4 linked regions of the Saccharomyces cerevisiae S288C genome follow. The protein of the gene in region 3 interacts with the protein of the main gene of each other region in a biochemical or structural test. Each region holds a gene or a part of one and is shown on either strand. Other genes may lie near its edges.

What was found.
Region 1: of the proteins of CKA1 (region 3) and MAF1, one has a biochemical effect on the other in vitro, tested with the Saccharomyces cerevisiae proteins (2 studies listed by BioGRID).
Region 2: of the proteins of CKA1 (region 3) and ELF1, one has a biochemical effect on the other in vitro, tested with the Saccharomyces cerevisiae proteins (4 studies listed by BioGRID, with this or other methods).
Region 4: of the proteins of CKA1 (region 3) and FIP1, one has a biochemical effect on the other in vitro, tested with the Saccharomyces cerevisiae proteins (4 studies listed by BioGRID, with this or other methods).

The regions. Positions count from the first base shown.
Region 1 is NC_001136.10:455,532-460,324, forward strand, and holds MAF1 (RNA polymerase III-inhibiting protein MAF1), read right to left. Parts: upstream 2,573-4,793; coding exon 2,567-2,572; intron 2,487-2,566; coding exon 1,305-2,486; downstream 1-1,304. Other genes in the region: putative DNA-dependent ATPase RAD57, read left to right, coding at 1-1,052; SOK1 (Sok1p), read right to left, coding at 3,011-4,793. UniProt on the Saccharomyces cerevisiae protein: Mediator of diverse signals that repress RNA polymerase III transcription. Inhibits the de novo assembly of TFIIIB onto DNA.
Region 2 is NC_001143.9:150,662-154,546, reverse strand, and holds ELF1 (Elf1p), read right to left. Parts: upstream 1,279-3,885; coding exon 841-1,278; downstream 1-840. Other genes in the region: RCN1 (Rcn1p), read left to right, coding at 96-731; putative protein kinase KDX1, read left to right, coding at 3,860-3,885. UniProt on the Saccharomyces cerevisiae protein: Transcription elongation factor implicated in the maintenance of proper chromatin structure in actively transcribed regions.
Region 3 is NC_001141.2:286,047-290,780, reverse strand, and holds CKA1 (casein kinase 2 catalytic subunit CKA1), read left to right. Parts: upstream 1-1,872; coding exon 1,873-2,991; downstream 2,992-4,734. Other genes in the region: cAMP-dependent protein kinase regulatory subunit BCY1, read left to right, coding at 1-362; CAP2 (F-actin-capping protein subunit beta), read left to right, coding at 692-1,555; CST6 (Cst6p), read right to left, coding at 3,352-4,734.
Region 4 is NC_001142.9:601,980-606,562, forward strand, and holds FIP1 (cleavage polyadenylation factor subunit FIP1), read right to left. Parts: upstream 2,225-4,583; coding exon 1,241-2,224; downstream 1-1,240. Other genes in the region: BUD4 (Bud4p), read left to right, coding at 1-1,099; transcription factor IME1, read right to left, coding at 2,590-3,672. UniProt on the Saccharomyces cerevisiae protein: Polymerase-regulating component of the cleavage and polyadenylation factor (CPF) complex, which plays a key role in polyadenylation-dependent pre-mRNA 3'-end formation and cooperates with cleavage factors including the CFIA complex and NAB4/CFIB.

The sequences.
Region 1 (4,793 bases), on a different chromosome or scaffold from region 3:
TAGGTGGAGGCATATTCACGCATGGCATTACAGAAATATTCGGAGAGAGCTCTACTGGTAAATCTCAATTACTTATGCAGTTGGCGTTAAGTGTCCAACTTTCCGAACCTGCGGGAGGGCTTGGCGGCAAATGTGTATATATTACCACTGAGGGCGATTTACCAACTCAGAGATTGGAAAGTATGCTATCGTCTAGGCCGGCTTATGAAAAACTAGGTATTACACAATCAAATATTTTCACCGTCAGCTGTAACGACCTAATAAATCAGGAACACATAATCAATGTTCAGTTGCCTATTTTATTAGAGAGATCTAAGGGTTCAATAAAATTGGTGATAATAGATTCGATTTCTCATCATTTGAGGGTGGAGCTTCAGAACAAGTCCTTCAGAGAATCCCAAGAAAATAAAAACTATCTGGATAGGATGGCAGAGAAGCTCCAAATACTGGCCCACGATTATTCATTATCCGTTGTGGTGGCTAATCAAGTTGGGGATAAACCACTGGCTAACAGTCCAGTGGCACATAGGACATATGTAACTGATTATGATTATCAGCTAGGGTGGCTAGTTGGCTGGAAGAACTCAACCATTCTTTATCGGCAGATGAATTCGCTGCTTGGAGCAAGTTCCAATAACGATGAAATTCTATCAGACGATGAAGATTATATGCTAATCGAGAGAGTTATGAGCACTGTAAATGACCGGAATTATGATTTTTTTTCAAAAAAGAAACCACCCATAATTGAGAATAAAACCGTTGAGCGAAATTCATCAAGTCCTATCAGTCGACAAAGTAAGAAACGGAAATTTGACTATCGTGTCCCCAATCTCGGTTTGACTTGGTCCAATCACGTTTCAACACGAATATTACTTCAAAAATCTTTCAAGGCTTCAACAATAATTCAAAGAGGTGAAGCTCATCTTTATAAGGGAGGTGATTCGGCAAGCTTCTGGCAAGTTAAGAGGACAATGAAAGTGGTATATTCCACATTCGCTAAGCCTGGTCAAATTGCATATCAAATTACTAAGCGAGGAATAGAAACAGCCTGATTGAAGTTCCGTATTCGAAAGAAACTAAGAGCTTTGCAGTAATATATGATGAAGGCAGTCTTTTTATATAGTAGCGCACATTATTCAATCCTCGCTAAAGTGTTCAATTAGTAAATATAATATTGTCATAAAGGTACATAGTTGAAAAGGGTATTTTTTTAAAAATAGAAACTTACAATAGTAGACATAAAGGGACTGTTTTTAACGATTATAGGTGTAAGACAAGGAAAATTCACAAATTAAAGTTTAAAACTACTGTAGGGATTCTTCTTGATCTGATTTATCATCTATTACATTCTCATCATAAGTGAAATCGTATTCTCCTTCGTATTCATTTGAGCCATCATCTATTATAAGCTTTCCCTGAGGTTTTTTTGCCAAGGCATCTTCCACTTCGCCTGTACTCGAATTTAGACGCGAGCAAATCAAGTAAAGGTAAGCCACTCTTTTCCTTTTCCTGTTGTAAAGAAAACCTATAAGATTCCAAAGATAGCCAGGCTCATCTTCCAAAAAAGAGTTTGAAGGTGAATATTGAAAAAGGACGCAATCAGAAAGAGTCATGTGAGAATTAATTACCTCCCAGACCCATTCCTCTGGTTGTCTACCAAGAGAATATAAGGTGTTTTCAAATTTGGAAATAAAAGTTTTCAATGATGTTTTGACAAAATCCGTTGGCTCAACCGATGAAAAATCATGGTCAGGATAAGAAGCGTTGAGGATAGCAATCAGATAAGCAAATATTTTGCGGCTTGACGGTTCGTTTATGGGACCAAACGGACCCAAACTTAAATTGCTTGGCCTTTCGTTTATCGAAGATTTTCTTCTTTTGTTAACATTGTTGGTTGCTGTACCAGAACTGTAATTATTGTTCGATGATTTACCACTTTTGAAACTGCTAATACTGCTACTGCTCCTTCTTCTTATCCTCTCATCATTCTTAGAAGAAGAATCAAGAGACGATGAGCTCATAGAGCCAGAATCGTAATTCGAGACTAATTCTTTTAAATTTTGGTCATTTAGCTTGGCACTTTTGGGAAAAGTTGCTGGAGAAGAACCATTAGGTCCAGAATAGTTATTGTTATTACTGCTATTGCCATTACTGTTGTTAGTGTTATTATTGCTATTGTATTCACTAAAAGATATTCTTCTCTTTTGCTCCCAAAAAGAGTTGCTATCCCTCCTATTAGAATAAAATGGCGACGAGCAGGGTGATTGGTTTGTTTCGGGAGCAGCTAGCTGTTGCTGAAGGGTAGCATTGTAATTCTCATTTTCCTGTAAAATAGTATCCAAATGCTGATCAATAGTTTTATATAATTTTCTATCTGATGCAACCGCCTTTGTTGTGAAAATATCGCAACTGCCCACGATTTTACAGTCATTTGTCTCGAAATTGAGAGTTTGATTCACTCTCTCTATATCTAGCTCATCAATAAACTAAGGAAGAAAAGGAGGGTTCAGGTACAATGTTAGTAATTTCGAATAAAGAGCATGGCAGTTTTAGAGTGATAACATACTTTCATTGTCGTGATTCTTTAGGCAAAAAAATCCGTTTGGAGTAATGAGCGGTTAAACTTGTTCTTGGTGAAGTGTGCAGAGTTTCTAAACTTTAAGTAAATGACACTAAGCCTATATTTTTCGCATTGCTAAAGAAACACTGATACATAATGTGTCTACATTTTATATAGCTGATAGCACGTTCTTTTTAAGTTGAATTATCTTTTTTTTCTCTTGTTAAATAAGATGGACAACGCGCTTTCGCTGGCGAGATGAAGCGCCCCTGATTGACAAGCAACTCGTGGAGGCAAGTAATTAGCGACGCTTTACTTTGTCTGATAGCAGTAAATATGTGACTGCATTTAAGAAGTGAAATTATAAGAAATGTACGCTTTAAAAATGATATATGAAGTTACATAAAGAAATGGTAAAAAAATTTTTTTTTCCTCCATTACCGATAATAGTTATATTCCTTTTTTATTAACTTTATCTCCTAACATTTCGATATAATGAGGACCGAATACGGACCAATGAAGGTTGATTAATGCATATAAGTGGCGATAAACATTCTCGAATTCCTCCAGCTCTGTTGCTGCGAATAAACCTCTGGATGCAATCGCATTGCCAGTAGGTGTGGTGGTGGAGGTTTTAGAAGGAGACATCAAAGACGGGCTGATTTTAACGCTAGCAGTATCTGTAGTAGTACTCAAAGTGTTAGTGCTACCTACGTTGCCATTGTTTGTGTTGTAGAGGTACACAAAGTCTTGTTTAACGCGTCCATCAATTGTGCACTCGGACCTGTTGAAGATAGCGTCCTCTAGTGATTTGAATACTCTATTTTCTAGGACACCATAAACTTCACTGAGGGGTTGAGTTTGCTTAGATAACCAAGATTTAGCAAAGGTTATTTTTGAGTTGTCTAATGAAGGCAATTGAGGCCTTCTGGCTTGTTCACAACTACCATTGTTGTCGTACTCCCTGTGAAGATCGTCAATAACTTTGCAAAGATGAACAGCAATAGACATTGTGTTTTTAGTCCACCTACAATTGCCGTGTTCATCTGTTATAATGCTGATAATTTCATTCTTCAGCCTTTTAGTTGAGTATGTATGAATAACATATTCCTTTGTAGCTTTATCCATTGAAGGATCGTTGGCCACCAATTGTTGGAAAAGTAAACGGCAAACTAAAATACAAACAATTTGACGTATATCGGCACGCAAAAGGATCAATCTTGCATGATCAAAAGAAAGCGGAGTTGGGTACTCTCTCACCATCTTCCTACATGACAATAGGTTAATTATACTTCTAATGCAAATATTGTAGACATCAGGGATAGTGATAGAACTTGGATTTCTAACAAGGCCAGCGGTAACATTTTCGTTGAATTTTTTATCAAACCAAAGTAGGGAAGTATTTAAATTCACCCTTTTAGAGGCTATAAGAGTGTTGAAATACTGTTTCTCAAATTCTACAGCATTACTTAACAGAGCTGGCCTTAGTATTCTTATTTGATGATTGGCAATATCCAATTTCATTGTTTCCAAAATTTGAAAAACCAACCTTAAACCTTCTATTAACCTTGTTAAAGAAGAGTCTCTTTCAGCTTCTTTAAATTTGTTGCTCATTTTATCCACCCATGGGTCCCTCATGGGGGCACAATGATGTTTAAATAAATCAGCCAACCAGCCTGACAAGTTAGACATTATCAGAGAACCTTTCAATAGTTCTTGAATGTTCAATTCTGTGTCCAGTACATTATTTATCATCGGAGACTCTTTTTGTGGGACTATCGTTAACAATACATCCCTTAAAGTGTCAAAAAGTGGGACTAGTCTTGACCTGTTATATTGGAATATTTCAGGCCTCTTAGAGTAAACATAAATTTCATTTTGAACATCATTCCAATAGATATTCGCCAATTGTCTTTTTTTATTCCCTCTTTCGCCATCAAGATTTGGCCTGAATTGTAGTAGCGGGTCGAATATTATATCATGTCTTAGTTGTGGGTTTTTCAGAATTTCCTGTAAGTCAATCTCTTTTAAGCCCTGCAAATTTATAGGAGGAAATGGAACAGGCGTTGGAGTAGCCTTTATGTAGTTTATTCTATCTTCCAAAGTTAAGTCAAAGTTTGAGCTTGATAGGAAGCTTTGATTTGTCATTGAAGTGGCAGTGGAATTATTAATGTTGTCATTATTAGCGTTAGTGCTTGCGTTACCTGATATTTGTTGATTTAAAAAAATTGCG
Region 2 (3,885 bases), on a different chromosome or scaffold from region 3:
ATGGTTTTCTTTTTAAATACAGTAATTCCATGAAAAAAAGAGGGCCAAAAAGATCAAGCAATAAACCAACCGATATATAAAACACAGAACTGCAGATGGGTAATATTATAACGGATACGATAATTATAACCTCGGATAAGTGCGACATTGTTGATAATGATAATGTTGAAAGAATCCAGGTTTGGCTATCCAAGAATATCTTAAGGAAGTTTCAAATCAATGAAAATGAACCACTACAGTTGATTATTTTGAAAAGGTTTAAAAGAATACTGTTGATCTGCCCCAGTCATGATATATCTCAGCATGTTATGGATGCGTCTCGTGCTTTAGAAATGGAAAATTTTAACTTCAGCTACTCCTTGCAAGACGGACAAAGGAATTTAACTAAACAATACTTGAAGGTACCAGAGAGTGAAAAAATGTTCCTGATATCGCCCCCAGCATCACCACCTCCCGAATTCGATTTCAGCAAATGTGAGGATGCGCCACAAAGGCATATACAAAGTCATATACAACAGGACCAGCAGCAGCGGTTGGAAGCTAGCCAACTATTGCCTAATAATCCAGACAAAAATAACAATGGTACTTTCACGTTATTGAAATCAAAGGTGGGCGCAATTACCATTGATAGATGTCCCACGAACGATGGAAATGGACAGATGCAATTAGCGGACCACGTTAAAACCGCTTTCCCACCAAAATCTATATTCGATACTGATGACGATGATTAAGATGGCGAGGCGATTTGTTGGCTTAAGAGACTTAAATGCTTACGGGTGGTTGCTTTAAAATATAAAATATATATGACCTAAGTAAATATGGTTTTTTCTCAGGACCGGATTATTCATCGTCACTATCTACCAAGGCGCCTCTGCCTCTTTTAACTTGGCCTATCCTCTCCTCGTCCGAGTCTACCTCCTCTTCATCAGAATCTATTTCGCCATCATTTTGCGTTTTAGCATCTTGCTCTGAATCACTTTCGTAATCACTATCAGAACCTTCGTCACCATCATCTGTGTCACTTCCACGGCCAGAATTGACTTCTTCGACGGCGTCAAACCAATCACTATATACATCAACAGGCTGTGATAATGAATTTATGCGCGTTTGGAACGACTGCCCACAAATCTTGCACGATAAAGTTCCTATACTATTTTTTTTGTCCAGAGTGCATGAAACTGATTTTTCATGATTACAAAATAAACAATTGAATTTCGTATCTAATTTTTGGACCAGTCTCTTGGTAGGCTTTCTTGTTGACTTCTTTCTTTTACCCATGGCTCGTTAATTGTTTTCAGTGTTTTTTATGACATTCTTCTTCATAATTCTCCCCATCTTTATTACTATTCCTTTTCCAATTATTTGTAGATTATTGCTTTACCAAAGTTTAATCATTTTAAACGTTTTTGTTTCTTCCGTTTTCAGAATTTTTACAATTTGTCACCGAAATAGCAGTTTTTGTTTAATTTTAACGCTATGGGGTAAAAATTTTGGGCCCAATTTCAACTGAAAGAAGAGATATTTTAAATATGATAAGATAATCTTATAACTACGAATTTATTATTTTGTACGTGTCATAATAAATAAGGAAGTGCCTGAAGAGCGTTAAGTAACTTTGGAATCTTCGTTATGAAAACATTGGCTATTTGTTTCAGAAAAAAGCCGTTTAAGTACTTAAAAGAATAGTTATGTTTATATAGGTATGGTGACGAGGCTCTACATAGGACTAATAATGGTGATTTCCCGTCCAGTTTGGTTTACCCTCGTACCATCAAAAGCCTACAAATTCACAGGAAAATCGAAAAAAGATCCTTTCAAAGGTATTTTTCGTCGTGGTTTATTTCCAATGTTGTCATCTTTTTGTCTAACATCTCTCCCACCGATTTTGTCTCACTAACGCGATGATTTTGAATAGGAATGTAGTTTGAACTGTGAAATCATGACAGAATAAGCATGTTACATATAAATATTGGTTACCGTATTTCTTACGCTAGCATACTTCAAGTGTCTTTTGTACTTCTTAAGTTCTTTTGTTTTTGGATAATGATTTAATGCGACACATTGAAAAGGATAATGAATTCTTGCTGGGAACCTCGAACCAAATATTGTGACCTGGAAATGTTGTGTGCAAGACACCGTGAAATCACGCAATAAGACATATCTATACCGTGACAACTCCAAAAAATCCTAAAAACGGCAATTACGTGCAGAAGAATAACGGAAGTTCAGATAGTGGAGAGAAGAATTTATTCTTGTCCCTAAAATGCCCACCAGAGCAGCACTTCTAGTAAGCACATGCATGCTCCACCGCAAATCATCATATTGACGGTATCACACTATAAAAGAATAAAACATGTTGCAAGGCATAATTACTACCGAATTGCAAAAAATTGAACACCAACTTAGCGTGGTTCTATCAGAGAACGACATATCAATTCCTCACAATGAAAAACTAACTGACTAGAATACTTCCACTTTGGTGCCGCATTTGATGAAACAGCAAATAATACCTACACTTAAGTTGAATGAAGATTTCGTTTTCTTTGAGATAGCTCGAGGACATTCACGAAAGAAAAAATTTTAAAGAACAGTTTATAAGCTCTTTTTTAGAATCCTATTCTGTTTACTTCACTGTTCACTTACTTTCGGTCCCACATCTACAAAACATCTACAACAAGAACGTGGGCGATACAGCAAAAAATCACTTGAAATAACAGAATCAAGTTTCTTATCCGATTTCCTACTTTTGAGCTCCGGCTTATGTTGAAGATGTTACTTTTCTTTGTCTCTAAGTGATCTTTATTTTTCTGGCTCCAGTGAAATTTGGTAATAGCATAGTCACTTCAACTAAAGTCTGATAGTAATACTTGCAAATATTGCAAAACTTGGAAGAATGTTAATGAATCATTTCTTGCACCATTCTTTCAATCATCTCAATCTCCTGCTGTGATGTTTAAGTATAACATTGAAGACTATGCCCTAATTTCCAATGTTATTTAGTTTTAAGCATATCTTTGTTTCTAACAGGAAACTCAGGCCCACATCCGCAAAAAAATATGTGCCAAAAAACTTTCAACACTTCAAAGATACTTACCACTGCAGGAAAATAATCTACGTGTAACGGTTTGAAAATAAATTTGACTTCATAATTGGACATAAGTACTCCATCGCCATCCCTTTTTAAAGAAGTTTCCACAAGAATGAATGGCTAATCGCAACTAAATCTTTTCCTTGCAAACGTAACACAGTATCGACATTTTCTTACTCAATCCAACGAAGGAATAACCTATCTAAAAAATAAACGCCGTAGTTTTCAGCCCACAAGACGTCATTAAAAGATTTGTTAATTATAAAAATAGAAATATTTCTACCAGCATGATTATTCGTTACTTGAAAGTCCCCAATAAATTTCACTGTTTCCGTTAACTGTTGTAGTTATTAAACGCAGCAAACAGATTATTTTGAACAACACCGGAGAAACACGCGCAGACCCATTCGAGTTAAAAATAGTAACTCGCGATCAATCAATGCAGGAAGCACCGTAGGAATTAGTAAGAACTCGTATTTTGATTGAAAATGCCATGAAAGCAATTGACTTGCTGCAGTAAAAAGCGCTGCCACAAACTTTGTAATTTTCGACAATGACGTTCTTTTCAGATGGTTACTGTCTTTTTTTGGAAGAAACAAAAGAAGGTACTTTTATGATGTTATACTAGGCAAAAAGCCTATTTAATGTAAGTCCTAATTGTCGTTTGAGACTGGATGAAAAGGGACAAAATGGAAGGATAACTAAAGGTGACTTACCGCCAGATTAATTCGGCCTGGAATAGTTTGATATCGAAGAAAGATTCACAATTAAATGGCGACTGACACCGAGAGGTGTAT
Region 3 (4,734 bases):
TGAAGAGCATGCCAGTTTTGAAGAGTTTGACTACGTACGACCGTGCCAAACTTGCCGATGCACTGGATACCAAGATCTACCAGCCGGGTGAAACAATCATTCGCGAGGGTGATCAAGGGGAGAACTTTTATTTAATTGAGTACGGAGCTGTGGACGTCTCTAAGAAGGGCCAAGGTGTCATAAATAAACTGAAAGACCATGATTATTTCGGTGAAGTGGCCTTGCTAAACGATTTGCCCAGACAGGCCACTGTGACTGCTACAAAGAGAACCAAAGTTGCCACATTGGGGAAAAGTGGTTTTCAACGTTTACTGGGTCCTGCAGTAGACGTATTAAAGCTCAATGATCCTACAAGACATTAAGTAAAAAGGGGAAGCGATCTTAAATCCACATGAATTTCCTTTCTCTTTTTCTTCTTCTTCTGTTCCCTTTTTCTTTCTTCTTCCTTCAACGTCTACGTAAATATAATGTATAACATCTCCACTTTCCTTTCCCTTATAGCGTTATGTTACCTGTTTAAACTCTAAATTCTTCATCTACTACTGCTGTTACTACATGTATATATGTTCATTTTTTTTTTTTTTTTTCACCACGGAAAACGTAAAAATGAGAGCATTTGTAACAAATAAAGGAGAACTGTTCAATCAAGTGACATACAAAAACTCTCTCCAACTCTACAATCACCACCGTAATGTCTGATGCTCAATTCGATGCTGCTTTAGATCTTCTTAGGAGGCTAAATCCTACCACGTTACAGGAGAATCTAAACAACTTGATCGAATTACAACCAAATTTGGCACAAGATTTACTATCTTCAGTAGACGTTCCCCTATCCACACAGAAAGATTCCGCCGATTCAAACCGGGAGTACTTATGCTGCGACTATAATCGTGATATTGATTCGTTCAGATCGCCTTGGTCGAACACTTATTACCCAGAACTATCCCCAAAGGATCTACAAGACAGCCCCTTTCCCTCAGCCCCTTTAAGAAAATTGGAGATCTTAGCCAATGACTCTTTCGACGTTTACAGAGATCTCTATTATGAAGGCGGTATCTCCAGCGTGTACCTCTGGGACCTCAATGAAGAAGATTTCAATGGGCACGATTTTGCAGGGGTAGTGCTTTTCAAAAAAAACCAATCAGATCACAGTAATTGGGACAGTATCCATGTTTTTGAAGTTACAACATCTCCTTCTTCTCCCGACAGTTTCAACTATAGAGTCACCACTACAATCATTCTGCACTTGGACAAAACAAAAACTGACCAGAATTCTCATATGATGTTATCCGGGAACCTGACAAGACAGACCGAAAAGGACATCGCTATTGATATGTCCCGTCCATTAGATGTTATTTTCACATCACATGTCGCTAATTTGGGTTCCTTAATTGAGGACATTGAGTCTCAGATGAGAAATCTATTGGAAACTGTTTATTTCGAAAAGACAAGAGATATCTTCCACCAAACAAAGAACGCAGCCATTGCTTCCTCTGCTGAGGAAGCGAATAAAGACGCACAGGCAGAGGTAATCAGAGGTTTACAGTCTTTATAGAAATATTTACATGTATCGCTGGTATATCATATAAATACATACAGCAGCACTAAGTGGTAGAAAAGCGCTATCAAAAATCACTCGGAACGAACACTGAAGAAAAAGCGAAAAATCAAAAATATGACCAACGCTTGGAAAATTTCAGTAGCAATTAGACGAACCTCGCAGTCCTGTAGTAAAACGGATTAAGGGACTTCATATACTGTTGATACTCGGTGTATTGCAATTACCTACTAGGAGTTTTCTGAATAGGGACTTAAGAAGTCAAATATACAGACAAAAATAGGGGGTTGTAGAAGGAATATTTGATTCGAACTATGAAATGCAGGGTATGGTCAGAGGCTCGTGTTTATACGAATATCAATAAACAAAGAACCGAGGAATATTGGGATTATGAAAATACTGTAATTGATTGGTCCACAAATACAAAGGACTATGAAATTGAAAATAAAGTTGGGCGAGGAAAATACTCCGAGGTTTTCCAAGGTGTCAAATTAGACTCTAAAGTTAAAATTGTTATTAAGATGTTGAAACCAGTTAAAAAGAAGAAGATCAAGAGAGAAATCAAAATCTTAACGGATTTGTCTAACGAAAAAGTGCCTCCAACGACTTTGCCATTTCAAAAAGATCAATATTACACAAATCAAAAGGAGGACGTTTTAAAATTCATCAGGCCCTATATCTTTGATCAGCCACACAATGGTCATGCAAACATAATTCATCTATTTGATATAATAAAGGATCCCATCTCAAAAACTCCGGCTTTGGTCTTCGAATACGTAGATAATGTGGACTTCCGTATTCTTTACCCTAAATTAACCGATCTCGAAATTAGGTTTTATATGTTTGAGTTATTAAAGGCCTTAGACTATTGTCATTCAATGGGAATAATGCATAGAGATGTTAAACCTCATAACGTAATGATTGATCATAAGAATAAAAAATTGCGATTGATAGATTGGGGGCTTGCTGAATTTTATCATGTTAATATGGAATACAATGTTCGTGTTGCGTCGAGGTTTTTTAAGGGTCCTGAACTACTAGTTGACTACAGAATGTATGATTATTCTTTAGACTTGTGGTCGTTTGGGACAATGTTGGCTTCTATGATCTTTAAAAGAGAGCCATTTTTCCATGGAACGAGTAACACAGACCAGCTTGTCAAGATCGTCAAAGTACTTGGTACAAGCGATTTTGAGAAATACCTGTTGAAGTATGAAATTACCTTACCGAGAGAATTTTACGATATGGACCAATACATCAGAAAGCCTTGGCATAGATTCATCAATGATGGTAATAAACATTTAAGCGGCAACGATGAAATTATTGACCTTATTGACAATCTTTTGAGATATGATCATCAAGAAAGATTAACTGCTAAGGAAGCGATGGGACACCCGTGGTTTGCCCCAATAAGGGAACAAATTGAAAAATAAGAAATAAATAATGAATGAAATAAAAAAAAAAAAATCACTGACAAACGATATAACGATTACTTTTTTTTACCATCTGTACAATTGTACTTAATTCTAATAGATTTAAAAAACTAAATACAGGTTTAAAGGGCTTCCTCCATACAACAGAGGCAAGGAGGACTAAGGGGTTGACACGAGCAAATTTCATACATGCAAAATAATAATGTCTTAAAGGTAATTTATACCATAAATGTAGTAACTAAACGAAATAATAACGGCAGAAAAGAAAGGATGCAGCTCGAGTATTTATACACGTATATTACATATATAGTTGTCCTTATCATTCTTGAATGAAACACCGTTGTGCTCACCAAAACTTTGTTATTTTATCTTTTCAGAATTGGGTAATGATTGGTTGTCTGGATCCTTACCACCTTCTACGGGCTTGAGATCTATATCGTCATCGTCAGTATCGCTTCCGAAACGTTGAGAGTATGGCTCGTGCTTGATGGCTATGATCTTACCAGTATCTTTATCCACTTCTGTAACGTCTGAATCGATCATTAAAAGTTCTTCAATGATCTTTAATGAATCCACAGTCATGCTTTCATTTTTGTTGCTACTATTAGTGCCATTAACATTATTATCTGAGTCTTTATTTAGTTTTTCATGTTCACGTAAATGAATTTTGGAGAATTTCTTGAATTTAGAGATTAGTTTTTCATAGTAATTTAACTTTTTCAGTAAAATTCTATTCTCGTCTTTAATTTCGTTAAATTCCTTTTGGAGCTGCAGCTGCGCAACCTTTTTCCTTTGTCTACATTTCGAAGCTGCAATTCGATTTCTTTCTAACAATCTTGCTCTCTTCCATGCCGTAGTACCAGGGATTGGATTTCCCTGTGTGTTCGCCGCTAAATTTAAATGAGATCCTTGAGATTTTGGAGTGAAGCTAGGATTAGAGTGAGATTCCCTAAGTGCAGATTTGCCCCTATTTTCACCTCCAGTAGTTGGCGCAAACGTCGTCATGCCTTCCAAATCACTTATACTCTCCGCTGGAGTATTCTTTGATGGCGCGTTTACAAAATTTCGCTGCTGACTTTTCGAGTAAATAACGCTCTGATCACCCAATGCGGAGTCCTTCGTGGGATTAATAACTTTTTTTGCATTGTATTGTGGAATACTACTAACCGGCACTGCTTGGTTGAAGACCGGCTTGTTTGATACATTCCTAGTTTGGCTCAGACCATTATAATTGTGAAAATTGGGCATCGGGGGCGGCTGTGTGTTGTGCAGGTTTTCCAAAGTTTCAATATCTTCGCCTAGCTGGCTTATTTGACCGTTAGAGATTGATATTCTTCTTCTTCTAATTGGCTCATCGCATCCAGGCAAAGAACTTTGGAAAATTGGTGGATTCGTCATAGGTAAATGTGCTACATCAACACCAAAAGGTTGAAAAAATGGCGACAATGTTTCCAGGATGGATGGATCGTTCAAGGCATGTGGGTTGTTATTCATATTCATGTTCATGAAATACATCTGCTTGTTCACAGAAGCCGTATTGGCGATGTTGGACGCATTAGTCGGGGCTGTAGTAGAATCATTCGGAGCGGACTTACGGGTAGACGACAGTTGGCTCAGATTTGTATGAGTGGCCAGATTCTGATGCATATCCTGTACGACACCAGAATTCATCAGAATATCACCGTAGAGTTGGGATTCCTCTTCAGTTTTCATAGAGGGTGACTGTTGTCGCTGATCCTGCTG
Region 4 (4,583 bases), on a different chromosome or scaffold from region 3:
GCTTGCATTATATGGAACTAAGAGTCATAGAGCAACATATGCTATTGTTTTTGACAATGGGGAAAATGTCGTTCAGACACCCTGGGAGTCGCTTCCGTATGACGGTAACATCAGGATCAATAAGGAATTTGAATTGCCCATAGATTTTAAAGGAAAAGCCGAAACATCCTCCGCTTCTTCTGAAAGAGATAGCTACAAAAAATGTGTTATCACATTAAAATGTAAATATGAAAAACCTCGACATGAATTGGTCGAAATAGTAGACAAGGTGCCGGTGGGTAAGAGTTTTTTTGGAAAGACAAAGTATAAATTTGAAAAGAAGTATGTACAGAAAAAACCTAAACAAGATGAGTGGGATTATCTATTTGCACAAGACGGTTCATTTGCTCGTTGTGAAATTGAAATTAATGAAGAGTTTTTGAAAAACGTGGCATTTAATACCAGTCATATGCATTACAATATGATTAACAAGTGGAGTAGAATCGCAGACAAAATTCACGGCTCAAAAAGGCTGTACGAGTTACCACGCAAGGCGCCTCACAAAGTGGCTTCGTTGGATGTGGAAGCATGTTTCTTAGAAAGAACTTCTGCCTTTGAACAATTTCCCAAACAATTTTCATTGGTCAATAAGATTGTTTCCAAATACAAGTTGCAACAAAATATCTATAAAGAAGGGTATTTATTGCAGGATGGTGGTGATCTGAAAGGAAAGATAGAAAACAGGTTTTTCAAACTGCACGGCTCGCAACTTTCTGGTTATCATGAAATCTCTAGAAAGGCTAAGATCGATATTAATCTGTTGAAAGTCACGAAAGTCCTACGTAATGAAGACATCCAGGCGGATAATGGAGGGCAAAGGAATTTTACAGATTGGGTACTCTTTAATGAATGCTTCCAGCTAGTATTTGACGATGGTGAAAGAATTACTTTCAACGCGGAATGCTCTAATGAGGAAAAAAGTGATTGGTACAATAAGCTCCAGGAAGTTGTTGAGTTGAATGTTTTCCATCAACCCTGGGTGAAAAAGTATTGTGAAAAGTTAGCTGAGGAGGAAAAGACTCGAACAACCGGTCATAATTTGAAGCAAGATTTTAATTAGAAGGTGATTAATGGAATGAAAACAGCATATAATCTGATGACTGAGAGGTCTTTAGTTTAAAGATTAATTAAATACACATAATAAGAGTAAATACGTGAATCATGGACGATATATTTTTATTTCAATTTCACAGATCCCCATTCATTTCGAATTTTGATTTTGATTTTGATTAGGCTGTTGGTTCATGGGTGGCATCATACCTGGCATGGGGAATGGTGGAAAGCTACCAAACATAGGTAAGGGTGGGAAGCTTGGATGCATTGGTGGAGCGGGAGGGTTTGGTGTTCCAGACATACTATTACCCATATTACTGTTCAGATTAGACATATTTGCATTGTTTACGTTGTTGTTGTTATCAATTATATTACCGAGGTTTGAGTCTGTATCATTCGCGGAATTCAACTTCCCTTGCTGTTGGAGGGATAATAGGCCCATTAGGATCCTCCTAGGATTATAATCTTGTTGTAGTTTTTCCTGTCTATGTAAATACTCCATCCAGGTAAATTCGTTAAAACCGTAATTGAAATAATCACTTAAGTTGGCCCCCGGTTGCCTCCAGGGTTTCTCCTTTAATACTTCAGGATCTATTGTCGTTATGCCAACACTATCAAAGATTCCCTCTTTATCCAGGTCTATAGAACCAGTCATTGCTTTCGGTACATTTCCATCGCTCTCTGTAGCTTTTACGGTCGTTGCCGTTACACCTTGATTTGCTTCTCCTTCTGTTATTAGTCTTTCATCTGATGTCTTTGTGATGGTATTGGATACATCTGTAGCTACGCTAATTACGTCTTTGCTTGAAGATGTCGCTGCGGTAGAATAAGAATCGAGTAGTTTTGCATCTAACCTAGTAGGGTCAGGACCCAGACTTATGATAACCTCTAGGTCAGAATCACTATCGTCATCTGAGGAGTCAGAGTAGATATCTTCATCAGAACGATCATCTCTGGCAGTAGCTGGAGTTTCTTCCACGGGAGAGTCGAATTTTTGCCTTTTAACTATATCAGGATTACTGGACGCACCTGCGTCTGCTTCATCATCTCTTGATCGTTTAGATGAAGGTAGTGCTAATTCGGAGTCGGAACCATACAAGAACTTGTCGTCTTCGTCTTCACTGGAGCTCATTTAGAGAAATGCTAATAATTTTAGTGTAGGCAAAAGGAATAAGAATGCAAAGCACGATGGTGCGGTTTAACAAAGTGAATTTGGTGATGTACTCTCTCAAGATTTATGTCGCATTATTCGCTACGAAGGTTTTTCAAGATTAAAACGAATCTCCTTTCCCATCGCGACATACGATAAGGCTAATAACGCTACGGTATTATGTCATGGAGCTTGAGACATTGAATACATATATATACCTATATATAATATATATATATGCAAATACACAAATTCTTAGCAATTTGAGTGAGACAATGGAAATAAAGAAATGAGTGTGAATGGATATATTTTGAGGGAAGGGGGAAGATTGTAGTACTTTTCGAGAATTAAGAATAGGTTTTACTAAACTTGTAGGATATTTCTTGAAACCTGACCTTGTCATAATAATCTTGATCATTAGAACTGCTGAAGGAGTAAGCCGCAGCATATCTTGACAGTTTGGAGTTCAACTTTTTTAGGAATTCTAACTCTTTTGAATTTAATTTTTGTAGTGATGGCGGTGGTGATTTTTCAACGTCGAAGGCAATTTCTAATGGGTAATAGTAGGAGGGCACCTGAGGTTCATCTATAAATGGATCTGCCTCATATACATTATCGGAGGCGTTGTTATTATTGCTGGTATTATTATAGTAATTACAATTAGTGCTTTTATGGTTGCTATAGTGACGATTATTAAAGGAATGTATGTTATCAGTATGTGGTGGAAACTGATCTTGATATTGGGAGTATGAATCCGTGTTTTTTGAATTTATTGATTCATGAATATTTGTGGGTTTTGAATAGGTATAATTAGTGGTATATGGGTAGAAGTCTTGTGTGTATGGGAATTCATTGAATTCAAAATTTTCTTGGAATATTTTGATATCTTTTTGTGCATTTGTATTAGTTTCATATTTTATTGTGTCACTAATATCGATATCATCTCCATTTCTGTTGCTCTTTTGAAAGTTATCATGGTTATTGAATGATGAGTGGAACGTAGATGCGGATTCATCATTAGAAAAAAGAGATGATAATGAAGAGGATCTGGTACTTTCAGAGCTCTTTTTTCCTCTTTCAGGACCAGTTGCCATTGTGCAGTCCTTCGTAGTTTTCGTTTCCTTGGAAATAGGCTGAGAATCAATATTTTCCAAATTCAGAAACTCTTCATTGAACAATATTTGAGGATTAATTAAATGAATTGGTTGTGTATGAACCAAGTTCTGCAGCTGAGATGAGGCAATTTTGTCAGACTTTTCAAAATGCCAACTTCTAGGGGAAATTGTAGATCCAAAAGAAAAACAAGGACGGTCTTCTTGATCGGTGGTTGTGTCATAATAAATGTTAGGTTGTTGTTGCTGTTCAAAAGGAAAGAGGAAGAAACCATCTTCTAAGGCAGCGTGAAGTTTTCCATGCATATCCGCTTGCATTTTGTTTGTGGGGAGAGGAATAGAAAAGCTTTTCTTTTATTATTTTTTTCCTTTTTCACCAGTAATGGGTGCCAGTAGGAATTTGTTTCTCTGTAGGTGACTAATGACAGTAGTATATTATGCTTTTAATCTTTAACAATACTACTGGTCGATTTATAATATGATAATGTAAAATAAATCGTAATAGGATAGTCGATGTTTGTATCTACTTCACGAAACAGTTATGGTATACGGTAGTTTAAATATCTGAAGAAGCAAAAATACCGAACTACAAGGGAAGCATTTTGAGAAAAATATTAAGATCAAAAGATAATTAATTTACCTTAAATACATAAAAGAGGAAAAGTAATATACAAGGTAAACAACAGGCAAGGAACAAGATCAAAAACGTCCGACCCCAATTTAGTAGTAAATTACAGTAAGAGAAAAAGGTATTGGGGCTGATACATATTAATTGTGCGTTGTTGTTGTTGTTTAATTTTAGATTGGCTATTATGAGTACACACAAAACGTTGTAAACGCAATCACCCATGGATAAGCGCTCCCTTTAAAATGCACTACGAAATCATTGATCTACTAACTTTAAACCGGACTTAAACCATCAAAGGGTGCTCTAGATCTCATCGATGTATTCTGATGCAGCCAAAATTGCGCAATCAATCACGTTTCCCGATATAGAAAACTAATTGGCTGTGTTACGTGGCTGGGGGTTCTGTAATTCCTTTCTTCCCCGGTGAATCATCAAGATTGGGCTAAGCGCCTTTGATCCTTTCCCTCGAAGACGGAAATGGGGCCGCAGGATAAAAAATGGTGTGTCTGTAATTCCGATTTTTTGCTTATGTAATCATGTAACTTTCTTCTAGTCCCTTTGCAGACATGCATGACACTTCCTTACCCGAATAGTGAGTTAG